Caenorhabditis elegans: one gene and its partner. The protein of the gene in region 1 purifies or fractionates together with the protein of each later gene. This does not show direct contact. Each region holds a gene or a part of one and is shown on either strand. Other genes may lie near its edges. The genes, in order: cpt-5 and rbm-25.

Region 1 (5,047 bases):
AACAATTGGAGATTGCGACTGTCGCTGAGCAAGATTTGAAATCATTGAAATTGGCAGTAAAACTTGATTTTGAAGTAGTTGATGAAATGGAATCGGAAATTGAAAGACGCTATGAAGCTCACATAAAAGCTTTTAATGATGTTCATATGAATTCCATGGTGTTTTTGGATTTTGGAAAAGGAAAATTAAAGAAATGTGGAATTTCTCCAGATGGATTTGTGCAAATGGCTATTCAATTGGCTTATTACAAGGTAAACACTATTTTTTGTTCTCTGTTTTTCTAATTAAAAGTATATTTCAAATTGAAGGACCAAGGAAAATTTGCTCAAACCTACGAATCAGGATCGATTCGATTCTATGCAAATACACGAACAGAAACTTTGAGACCAGTAACCAAGGCTTCATGCGAGTTTGTAAAGGCAATGTTGAATGATGAATTGGATGTAAGCCTATTTATTGGAGAAAAATAAATAAAATTGACTTTCAGAAAGTTTCACGCCGGAAATTGTTGAAAGAAGCATGCGAGCTGCATGTGAATAACCGTAAAGAAATTATGCTAGGAAAAGGATTTGATCGTCGTCTATTTGTATTGTGTGTTCTTGCTAAAGGACTGGGGTACGAAAGCCCGTTCCTAGATTTTTATCAGAACTAAAAATGGCTTATCAGTACTAGTAATGTATGTTTACTTATTTTATGAACTTATTTGATTTATGCATCATGAGACGCAATTTTCAGGCTCCCACTATGACGAATACAATCGATGAAGATTCCTCAAGAAACAATATTATTCTTGGTGGATCATTTGGAGCGGTTGCTCAAGATGGATATGGAATTTGCTATCGATTCGGTGGAAATCAAGCAATTCCTCTTCATATCACTTCATATCATTCTTCTGATGCCACAGATTCTGATAGATTTGGGAATTATTTAAAAGAAGCTTTTCATAGTTTGGTGGATTTATTTGAAAAATAATTTACTTTCCTACAAAGTTATTTGAAAAATAAATATTTTTTCGAATTGGAAAATAGAAAAAGGCACATATTAAAAAAATAATTCATTACCAAGAAAATAATCCCAAGTTTTGTTCAGATTTTGGAACAAGGCCTAAGTCCATTAAAAAGTTTTATCTGCTGAACTTAAAACCAATATGAAGGTAAAGGAAGGAAGTATGAGAACATTTTTAGATCGTTTTTTCGGGTTTGGCTCTATTTGTTGTGTTACTTAGTCTAATCATAAGCTTTGAAAGATTCATATAGAAAGGAGGCAGGTTTTTAGATCTTGTTTCAGTAAAAATTAAGATCAATGCCAGTTTTTTTTGGTTTTAGACCCTCTCGAAGGTCAAGAAAAACAGTTATGAAACTTGGGAAGGATTAAAAATCTTCCATGTTTTAAAGCAGCACATGATATCGCGGAAAATTATTCCTTTTATACATCACAAAGTAGTAGCTCTTTGAGCCGATGCTAGACTACACTATTTTATCATTTGCGTGCAAAGCTACTAGGAAAAAAAACGAAAGAAACGAACAAAGTCAATAAAATGTAGCATTAAGTGTAGCCAGGTGGTTTCTATAAAATGAAGATCGAGAAATGAAATGTCGTTTTTCTGTTTACTTTTTTGCTAATAGATTGAAATTTGCAGTGAAAAATGTCATCAAATAAAAAAAAATTTGAATGGCCGTATCCAAAAATTAATCATTTTCCTGGAAGAATTGAACGATTCTCGTACCGAACTTATGTAAGTTTTCAGTAAAAAACTTTATATTCAACATGTCAAATTAATTATTTATTTGTGATAACTTTCAGAACTGGTTTGAAAACCGCCTTTGGCCAATCAGACCAATTCCATTTCTGGCCCTTGTCACAACTGCTACTGGTTATCAACTGAGAAACTTTAGCCTCCCAGACATTCAGCAGAACATTCAAACGATTGTGAGGCCCCTTGCGATTTCTATAGGATCTGTGTACACTTCCGTATTCCTTCTTCGTCATTTCCTAAAATATTTTTATTTTTCTTACAAAGGATATTTGAAGGAGAACCCAAAAAAACCATCTTTTTTTACAATTTTATGGGGTATTCTCAGAAAAGCAGTCCTTACAATTGCACCTCCTCAACTGTCGTCTTGTGACCGACTACTTCCTAATATTCCACTCCCTGCTCTAAAAAACACAGTGAAGCAATATGTGGATTCAATGCAATTAGTTTTATCAGAGGTAAGTTTTCAATAGTCTGTACACTCTTCAATGTACTCTCTTATCAGGAAGATCACACTGAACTGATCAAGACATCAAACCAATTTTTGAAAGAGGAAGGACGGAAATTACAACGATGTGCATGGCTTTGGCATAAGCTTAATGAAAATTACATAACCTATTTTTGGGAAAAATACATCTACAATGCAGGGCGATATGCTCTACCTATTAATAGTAGTATTGGACAATGTGTTATGTACGGAGAAGATGACTTGACTCAAGTGTACCAAGTTGCCAGATTGTTGCGATATGAGTCGCTTGCGAACTTGTCCTTGGACCGGCAAAAGTACATGGCAGTAAGTATCTGTTAACGTGTGTTTTGAACCCTTTTTTCGAATTAGGTTGGGGAAGGTCTTCTATCTACCAGACATTATAAAAACATTTACAATGGATGCCGGGTACCTGGAAAAGAAATTGATCATTTCCAATGGAATCCACCGAGCAAGCATGTACTTCTGGTACACAAAGGTACTTGGTACAAAGTGGATACTTTTGATCGAAACGGAAAATTGTACAGTGTCGATAATTTGGCAAAGTAAGTCACTTTCGTGAACATTAGATAGTGGAAGTATTTAACGCATCGTAATTTTCTTTAGTTAATTAATTTATATTATGACTACAAATATTATGGCTACTTTCAATAATTTCAGAATTGTTTCGGAAATAATGCACCGACAAGACAAGGCAGATGGATTCCTCTCAAAAATTGGAAGTTTAACTACTGATCGCCGGACTGAATGGAGCATAAACCGGGAAAAGTTCTTCCTAAATAACAAGAATAACAAAAAGTTATTGGAGATCATTGAGACAGCACAATTCGTAGTAGCGATTGACGGAACTAATCATTGGGGAGTTGAATCAACTAAACAAGTATCTCGGTATATGAAAGATATGTTGGCTGGAGATGGTACTAATCGATGGTTTGATAAAACTATGAACTATGCTGTTGACGAGACGGGAAGAGGTGGGGCTACTGGAGAACACTCTCCTTGCGATGGAGCTGAGTTAGACCACCTTTGCGAGAATTTCTTGAACATTGACAAACAAATCTTGAAGTCCCCGAGCAAAGAAGAACAATTGGAGATTGCGACTGTCACTGAGCAAGATTTGAAATCATTGAAATTGGCAGAAAAACTTGATTTTGAAATAGTTGATGGAATGGAATCAGAAATTGAAAGATGCTATGAAGCTCACACAAAATCGTTCAACGATCTTCATATGCATTCCATGGTGTTTTTGGATTTTGGAAAAGGAAAATTAAAGGAATGTGGAATTTCTCCAGATGGATTTGTCCAAATGGCAATTCAGTTGGCTTATTACAAAGCAGGCTTTAATTTTAAAGATTATTAACAAACTTATCTTCATTTTTAGGATCAAGGAAAGTTCACTCAAACATATGAACCAGGTTCAATTAGATTCTACGCAAATTCAAGAACAGAAACTTTGAGACCAGTAACAAAAGCGTCTTGTGAATTTGTTGAAGCCATGCTCTCGGATAAATCTGATGTACGTATACAAAAATATGTTCAATTCGATAAAATTTTGATTTTCAGATAGCCTCCCGCAGGAAGTTATTGAAAGAAGCTTGTGAAGTTCATGTGAATAACTGTAAAGAAATCATGCTAGGAAATGGATTTGATCGTCATCTATTTGTACTATGTGTTCTTGCAAAAGGACTTGGATACGAAAGTCCATTCCTCAATTTCTTCCAAAGTCAGAAGTGGCTTCTGAGTACCAGTAATGTATGTTTTCCGAATTATTTTTCGCAAATATGTAGATATTTTTCCAGATTCCCAATATGACAAACTCGATTGATGAAGATTCTTCAATTGACAAGATAATGCTTGGTGGTTCATTTGGAGCTGTAGCACAAGATGGGTACGGAATCTGTTACCGATTCGGAGGAAATCAAGCAATTCTTGTTCATATTACTTCGTATCATTCATCAGAAGTCACAGATTCGGATAGAATGGGAAATCGGTTGAGAGAAGCATTTCATAGTTTGGTTGATTTATTTTAAACTGTTTTTTTTTCAAACAAAGTTGTTATTCTTTTTAGGACAGAAAAAATAAAAAAGTTCATCGCGTTCAGTTGACTTTTAACAAAGACATTTTTTCTCAAGCTTTTAATAACAATAGAAAGATAAAGACGAATACGAACAAAGAGCTGTTACGTAGCTGCCTCAAGAAGGTGACTGAAAAGTTCAAACATCTTTAAAATCAAGAAATTTGTGTTTTGAGCATACATGAGCAACATGAAACACTTCAAAACAATTAATTCAGAAATTGAATACAAAAACTGAAACCTATGACTGAAAATATATTCTCGAAAATTAGTTCACGAAATGGTAAACGAAATTTGGTTGTTCCGAATAAGATTGTATAAAATTGGGTTGGAAATCCGGAAGTACAATTTATACAATTATATACCCGTGTGAGGTACATAGATAGAAAAAATACAAATTGAGGGTAAAGTAAAAGGGTCGTAAACCAAGCAGTTGAAAACTGAAAATGCTTGAAAAATTTCACAAAATTTGTAAATCTATGAAAAGGTTCACAAGGTTTAATACTCGAGAGTCACATAATCTTCATAAATTGTGAGTTCCAAATACAGAAACAAAAAATCTTCTTAAAGAAAATTGGAAACATATTTCACAGATTTTCAATACCGAATCATAATAATTAAGCATGTAAGCGAGCTTTTGGAAAACATTTGGTTTCCCAAAAAAAGCTACAAATAAAAAGATTGCAAACGCAAAAAAATTACTTACAATTAGAGTGAAGTATTAGTTCAAAAA
Region 2 (7,880 bases), 1.4 Mb from region 1:
TGAACTTTTATATACACAATACAGAAAATTAAGAATTGTAGTTTGAAACGATACCTTTTAAGTTCACATTTATCTCCCCCTTTAACCATTTCTATTTCATTTTCACTGAAATGTCGCTTCAACGTATTCATTTGTTCACTAGCAGTCTCACGCCGAGCTTCATTAACTCTCATCACATCGACACCTTAAATAATTTTGCCTTTATAAGATCAAAATTCAAAACATTAGTACAAACCTATTCTAGTATCTCCGGTAGCTAATACAACTAGATCACCATGATGCGATACGTTGTATTCGAAGTTTTGACGAGAATAGTCTGATTTATTTTGAATAAGAGATGGTTTTCCATTTTCATTCCGACTAAACTCTAGATCTGACCACTGACGAGATATTGATATAGTGGCAGCTTTTCTGAATGTCTTCCAATTATTCAAACTCGAATAACATTTTGTTAGAACCTTGGAATTAATCTTCCTATCAGACATGCCAATGCATCTTCTTTATATCGAAACCGTCTCTGCTGCTCCACATCACTTTCCGATGCACACAAAATAGCCCGTCTAAACATATTTTGGAATGTAGATGAAGTTATCGTTTCTTCCAGCGATATTGCCCATCTTAAGCTCATTGCGCTGGAATTTATGATGAAAATTGAGACGGATGAGCTAAATTAGAAATCATCAAGAGGTAGATGCCACATTTCATAAAAATATCAGTTTGAAGTATAGCACAGAAAACTATATTTAATTTAATATTATAATAGCGATTATTAAGTCAGCTGCTCACTGGAATGAATTCCAGAGAGGGAGAGAGAAATAGACAGTAAAACGAGTCTTTGAAGTAAAGAACAACTCAATACAGAGGCGGGGATGAGTGGTAAAAAGATTGCATAATGTATTTCCAATATTGAAAGTAGTTATGTAATTCCGAGACGACGGGCTTGTCCCTCATAAATTAAAAGTCGCCACATTTTGATCACAAATTGCTCAGCATCCTCGTCAATGATCTGAATTCCATATATTAGATTTTTACTTAATAATTGATCATCTCACGACGGCGACGTCTTTGAGTATTTCTTGGGGTGTCGCTTGTTTCTCAATTTGATCACAGATGAAATCACAGAACGATTTGTCTTCTTCGCCAAGGAATTGAGTGACTTTTTTAGCCACCCACGGACGAATTCGATCATTCATCCATTTCCCATCTAGCTGATCCCATTCGATTCTATGAACAAAAAGTTCATCTGAAAAAAATCAAGTTTTAAATGTTTTTTTTTTCAATAAACATATCTTTGATTTTACCATAAAAACTCAAAGTTTATGAACGTTTTCTTCGAAATAACTTGCCTTTTGTAGCAGGAATAGTTTTGATTATCTGCTTCGTCAGCTCTCTTTTTTCTTCAGCTGACATGACTTGCATACGCTCTTCTCTAGTGATCTCGAATGGTTTCAACTTCTTTTTGCTATGCACATCGTCTTCATCGTCATCATTTCCAAACACACCACTGAGGCGTTGAGCAATTGGAATAGGAGATGCTTCTTTTTTAATTTGCGGCTGATTTTGATTTCCGTTAGCTATAGGGCGGTTTATTTTTGTATTGAGAGAAGAGTCATCTCCAATCGCTTTCCATCCGAAATTTCCATTTGTACCAGACGAACCAGTGTTAGGATCTACATGCTCGGAAATATCTACATCAATTGGTTCTTCTTTAATTTCATCCTTAATTTCCTTTTTGACATCGGTCTTTTCGCTATCACTCTCTTCTTCACTCGAAGACTTTTCTCCGTTTGCCGATTGACCAAGTGGTTGATGAGGATTTGGACTTCCACTATCAGCTCGCATTTTTCGCATTGCTTCTTCTTCCTGAAACTTTTGATAGGGTTTACTGAATGTATATAGTTGTGCCAATCACTACTAAGCGTAGTAAAATAAGTAAAGCGCAATTCTATTAAGCCCAGAGAAATATCACCCGTGGAAGGAAGGCATACTGTAAAAAATACTCAAAATTATGGCAGAATTAAGAAAGAAGAGAACTTCAGTTAGGAACAATTTTGAATGGTGTATAAACTTCTTTAGTTATACGGTAGGTTTTGATTAGATCGATGTTCTATGGACCTATTTAGAAACTTCAAGTCATTTTTCTTTGAAGCTTCGAAACGAAAGATTTTTGTCTTGCCGCGTACGAATTAAAAATGCAAACCTTTAGTTTGTGTCGTTTCCTTGCCTCCTCTTCAATGTTAATACTCTCATCATTTGCAGCTTCTTCCATAATTTGTCTTTTGAGTTCTTCAATCTCTTGCTGTTCTTGCATTCGATCTTTTTGATCAGCTTCCCTTTCACGTTCATAGTCTCTTTTTCTTTGGAAGAATTGAGAAGAAGTGTAGTATTTTGGATCATCTTTCTCATCATCATAGTCCTCGAGGAATAGTTTTAATCGTTTGCCTTCCTTTTGTAGTGTCTTTTTGCGATCCTTCTCTTTCCGTTCCTCTCGTTCATACCTTTTCGACATTTGTCGTTCTCTTGATTCCCATCGTTTCAGACGAGCCAGATATGCTTGCTTCTTATCAAGCATCATTTGTTTGAAAGCACGTTTCTCCCTTGCATCATCGCTGTCTTCTGAAGCATGACTATTACTTCGGCGTCGTTTAGATGTTCTGCTACGTTGAGGAGTGCGTGACCTGGATCGAGAAGAATATGATGAACTACGAGATGAAGATGAGTCCGATTCTGAGGATGAATTTGAGCTGGAGCGGCTTCGACGTGATCGCCTGAAAATTATTGAGTAGAAATTGAAACATTTTTTTAAAGAATATTTTTTTATTATTTTTATGTTGACGAAAAAAAGCATATAAATTTATTTTACAAAGAAAAAAATTACTAAAATTTTATAAGCTAACTATCGAAAAATCGAAATTTTTGAAGTATCGGAATACCGAAAAATTCGGAATATTTTCGTTTTTTAATTTGTGTGAAAAATTGAAGAACCAACACCCTTTGACTATTCCAGCGGTACTCCAGTGGTTGAAAATAAAAATTAAATTAAATTAAAACACTTACTTGCTTCTGGGCGATTCTTTGCTTCTCGATCGTCGTGAAGTTCTTTCTCGGCTCCTTGTGCGACTGCGGCTGCGTCGATTGCGATTTCGTTTGTGTTCATCCTGAAATACAATTATTGAAAATTAATTTAAAATCTATATTTGAGATCACTTGGTCTACATGTATTTTATTTTGCAATTTTCTTATCGAGTTTTTCAAAAAAAACTTTGATAGGCGAGAGGACAAGAGAGCAAGAGAGTGAGAGAAAAAGAATATGAATATATATTTCTCGTGAATTTGATGTAACACATAGACATACACATAGTAGTACTCACTTTTAATATTAGGCCACTTCAATTTTTCGAAACCATCACCATGAGTTATTAAAAACCCAACTTTTTTTCAAACAGGGTTACCAACATTTTCCAAATAAAAAGGTGACTGAGAAAGCATGCAAGTCTTTAAATTAAACGGAACAAAAACAGGGAGCTGGAGGGGATGATGACTTACGACTCAAATTTGGGCAAAAACTAATGGAAATCCAGTAGTTCAGTTTTTTCTGCAAATTCGATTTTGGAATACAATACAAGGAGACACGAACAAAGTGAGTATAGCCCAAGAATAAGTTGTATGCGTGAATGTATTGCAATCTGAGAGTGAAAACGCTAAAAAAGTTAGATAAAAACGATTCTCTATAATCTATAATCGAAGCAGTTGATTAGTGCGGGATTACACACACACACAACGTCAAATAATTTCTAGTTTCAGTCAAAATTTGAGAAACGCTAGAAATAAAAACAGGAAGCCGACAAGAAAGTAAAATGATTATTTTCAACATAGAGAGCAAAACTTGTCTTACCGCAGATGAAGGAGTGCTCGTCTCTGACATATTCCCTACAAAAGTGGAAGTAATTTTAGGATGATACTAATAAAACGAATACTGGGGACAAAAGAATGGGAATAGAAGAAGGGTGCAATTCCCCAATGAGAGGCACGACAGAGCAATTTATATGGCTTCTCGAACAAAAATGGTGGGGGAGACGGGGGGTTACATACACACATCGAAAGCATACGTATATTCACTCAACAACATACCACCAAAAATCATTGATGAGTGGAGGAGCTGTAGAAAATCTGGAACATTTTGGTACCTGCTGGAGAAAATATGTAGTTTTACTTGATATTTTGCACACCAACAATGATTAGTAAAGGACCGAGATACACAACTGAGGAATGCGATAATATATTTGAGGAACGTAAAAAATATAGACTGTGAGACAGAAAAGACATGAGTGTGAAATAGAAGAGGTTGGCAGAGAGAAAGAAGGGAAAAGCATGCAAAAGCTTAATCTGAAACATGTTAATTGGCACACTCACACATGCATTTCAAAGGTGAAATGTGAGATTTAGAAACATAAATTTTTACTCGATATTCAATTTCGTAGTTTTGTGAATATTGTGCGTTGGTTAGAACATAGGACTCTTGCATTTACTCATTTTTCATATTTAACGTGATCATTAATTTTTATATTGATGTGGTTCGTGTATTTGCTCATTTTACATATAATTGACTTTTTAGGTTTTAATATATATATTAAAAAATATAAGAAAATGGGGTCAAAACTTACGTATCGTGTTCCGATTCTTGGCTGGTTATACATGTTCCTATATAGAATAGTCAAAATGATCATAAAATTAAAATTTTATGTTAAAAGTGGTTGTAACTATTAGTCACCTCTCATATCAGCGGAGAGCCATGGAAAGGCTCATGTCGTTGGATACACGTCAGAAGCTATTACTCACCTTTTTTGGATTTGAAGACGAACTTGGCACGGTTTGCTTTTCGATTTTACTATCATGTCCCTTGACTTTCTTGGTCTCGTCAGAGAGTTCTCCATCTGGAAACAGAAAAACTGTTACGAATTGTTTTAAAAGTTTTTAAAAGCAGTTATATTTGGTCATTACGGTTCATTTTTCTCTACTCCACCTTTAAAAAGTAAAGTTATACCTTCAGTGATTGAAAATAGTTCCTTGTGATCAGTTTCCATCCAATGAAGTATTTTCAATCGAATTTCTTCGTCTTTTTTCAAATCATCTTCGTCTGCAGGTAGCTCGTCATGCTTTAACTTCAGTTCTTTTTTGCCTGAAATTTAGAAACTATAGGTAAATCCAGATATATTGGTTTTCTACTGGGCATATTAGATCGAGCTCACAATTATTTGCTATTTTCTCCAACTATGAGAAGTGAGACAAAAGAAAAAAACATACAAACAATTTTTGAAAATCATAACAGTGAAAAATGCTAGCTTTGGTTATTACAAGCATGTGATACGGTAAACATAAAACGTGGAAACATGCAAAAGACAAGGTGTTACCTAACCAATGATGCAAATAATGCTTCAAACAAGAGATTTATCGATTAGAATGAAACATTTCAACTGTCAAAAACCCATTTCTTACCTTGTCTCTTCCTATTTTCAATAGCATTTTTGCGTAGATCATCACGCACTTTTTCGTCAGGCTGTAATCATAGAGCTTTTGGCGTTGGGATTAGAAAACAACATTATTCAACAAACCTTTACAGTTAGTTTTTTGTCCCCCAAATGAAATTCGTGAAGAATGCGCAGCGCTCGTAGAGTTCCTTCGAGATCTGTGAAATGGCAGAATCCGAAACCTTGCAATTTGCCGTTACTTCCTTTAATGCGTTTCCAACTCGCAACATTACCGCATTCCTGTAAAAATTTATTAATTTTTATTCCATAAACTAATGTAATAATTACGTTTAATATTTTCCGGATGAACTCATCGCTGCATTTATCGGATATGTTTCCAACAAAAACTGGCGACGAATCTGGTTTTTGTTGGCTTGATTGCTGCGCGGGCGTCTGAAAATAAAACAAAAAATTATTTTTTACATGAAAAAACTAGCTTACGTGCTGGCCCGGCATTCTCATCTGTCCGAAAACAATTTGCTGTTGTTGTTGTGGATAGTCTGAAAAATAAACTCTTCTACAAAAACTTTCTTAAGATTAACTGAGAAAGTGCCTCGAGGCAATAAACTCACGAGGGTACGAAGACACTCCATAGCCTTGTCTGAAAGCCATGGTCGTGAGAAAAACGAAGTCCTAAATTCGATTTTTTCCTGAAACAAAAAAGTTGTGGAGCATGGCAATGTATTAAGAGTTAGACCAGAAAAGATAATGAGTAAAAAAGAAAAAAGAGAAAATAAATTATCACCTAACTATCAAGAGAACAATTTCAGCGACAGTAGATTGTGTTGTGGAACGAAATTTATATAATAACATGCAAATAATTAATAAAACAAAGGTTTTACAAAGGTTTTAGGTAAAGGTTTTATTTTAATATAAAATGTAAAAAATTAATGCGATGATTCTGTTCTAAACAATTGCATACGTTGAAACGCGCAGACGAAATTTATCGATTTTCCTTTGCGCATTTCTCGTGACCACTTCTGCGTCAGCAACTACTCTTGACACCGATTGTCCTTCGACTGTTTTTCATTCAAATAAAAAATGATTAACGCTGTGCTTTCATGTTCTTATTTTTCTCTATAAAACGTCCTAATTATATTTCATTTTTTGAAATATTTAGTTATGTATTGTTGATATTTATAATTTCAGAATGACTGATGATATCGATGATCATCATCTTGAAGATGACATGCATGTGGAAGCTTACATGGAATTAAAAGTATGTCTGTTTTCAGCAATGTGTTTAGCAAATTAATATGAACTATTTTAGCCTCAACAACCACGTTATATATGCCCCTATGGATGCAACAAATTGATTGCCTCTCGAACGATCGATTATCACAAGAATAATGGATGTGGACGTAATCAAAGCGATAATATGGTTTCGCATCCTCAACTCAAAAAGAGATTTTATTGTTGCGGATTGTGTAGTTCCGAATTTATCACGAGACCTGAGTTCCACAGTCATTTGCGTATTGAGCACGACGTTCTTCCGGATGTTCATTCAATGGAATTCCCGGACCGTGCTACATTTGAAGTAGGAGATCTAAAATTTGACATTTGATAATTATTAATTTTTCAGCGGTTCAGATTCTGGTTAGAGTCGGAAGGTGGTGCTCATTTTCGACACAAATCGGGATCAAAACGACGTGGGCGTGGAAAAGGAATTTTTTTGGCATGCAATCGAAGTGGCAATGTGAGTAGTGATAAGAATACAGCCAATGATCGTACAGGACCATTTCGATTAGGATTCACGTGTACTGCTTTTATTCATGCAACAGAACATAATGATGGGTATGCTTTGAGAGGCCCCACGAAAAGGGGAGCAGAACGAAAAGGGGATCTGCAAAAAGGGGATCTGCGGAAAGGGGAGCTGGCACTGTGCCAAACGCACAAAACGCTTTTTATTCTCATTCAACGCACGCATTATTTTTGTATTTTACGCTAAACAACGCGCGATGCGTCACAACGGAGTGTGGTTATAACAAAGTCGTGCGTTGAATGAGAATAAAAAAGTGTTTTGTGCGTTTGGCACAGTGCCAGGTCCCCTTTTCGTTGCTCCCCTTTTCGCAGATCCCCTTTTTGCAGATCCTCTTTTCGTTCTGCTCCCCTTTTCGTGGGGCCTCTGCTTTGAAATAAAATTGAAAAATAAACAAATTTATCTTTATTTTCAGACATGTGTCTGCGGAATTTTGTGGTGATCATTACGCTCACGACGCACGGATGCGGCTCCCCAATGTCATTAAGTATATAATTGCTCAGAAGCAAATGGAACAGAGTTCTCCTATGGAAATTATTGGATTTTTACGGCATCATTTCCTCAGCATCTCTGCAGACAACATTTATGCTCAG

What was found.
Region 2: the proteins of cpt-5 (region 1) and rbm-25 purify together in Caenorhabditis elegans (affinity purification with mass spectrometry, with the first as the bait; one large-scale study listed by BioGRID). This does not show direct contact.

The regions. Positions count from the first base shown.
Region 1 is NC_003283.11:13,871,556-13,876,602, forward strand, and holds cpt-5 (Choline/carnitine acyltransferase domain-containing protein), read left to right. Parts: upstream 1-1,639; 5' UTR 1,640-1,645; coding exon 1,646-1,735; intron 1,736-1,803; coding exon 1,804-2,211; intron 2,212-2,258; coding exon 2,259-2,546; intron 2,547-2,591; coding exon 2,592-2,785; intron 2,786-2,900; coding exon 2,901-3,573; intron 3,574-3,621; coding exon 3,622-3,756; intron 3,757-3,803; coding exon 3,804-3,992; intron 3,993-4,039; coding exon 4,040-4,270; 3' UTR 4,271-4,333; downstream 4,334-5,047.
Region 2 is NC_003283.11:12,496,553-12,504,432, reverse strand, and holds rbm-25 (RRM domain-containing protein), read right to left. Parts: upstream 6,221-7,880; 5' UTR 6,141-6,220; coding exon 6,101-6,140; intron 6,029-6,100; coding exon 5,970-6,028; intron 5,922-5,969; coding exon 5,817-5,921; intron 5,769-5,816; coding exon 5,613-5,768; intron 5,558-5,612; coding exon 5,497-5,557; intron 5,180-5,496; coding exon 5,045-5,179; intron 4,935-5,044; coding exon 4,840-4,934; intron 4,698-4,839; coding exon of another isoform or gene 4,665-4,697; intron 3,159-4,664; coding exon 3,058-3,158; intron 2,769-3,057; coding exon 2,201-2,768; intron 1,870-2,200; coding exon 1,347-1,869; intron 1,244-1,346; coding exon 1,053-1,243; intron 1,007-1,052; coding exon 917-1,006; 3' UTR 728-916; downstream 1-727. Other genes in the region: T28H10.1 (L-aminoadipate-semialdehyde dehydrogenase-phosphopantetheinyl transferase), read right to left, coding at 55-184, 236-411, 459-628; W04D2.4 (C2H2-type domain-containing protein), read left to right, coding at 6,679-6,747, 6,799-7,065, 7,111-7,322, 7,703-7,880.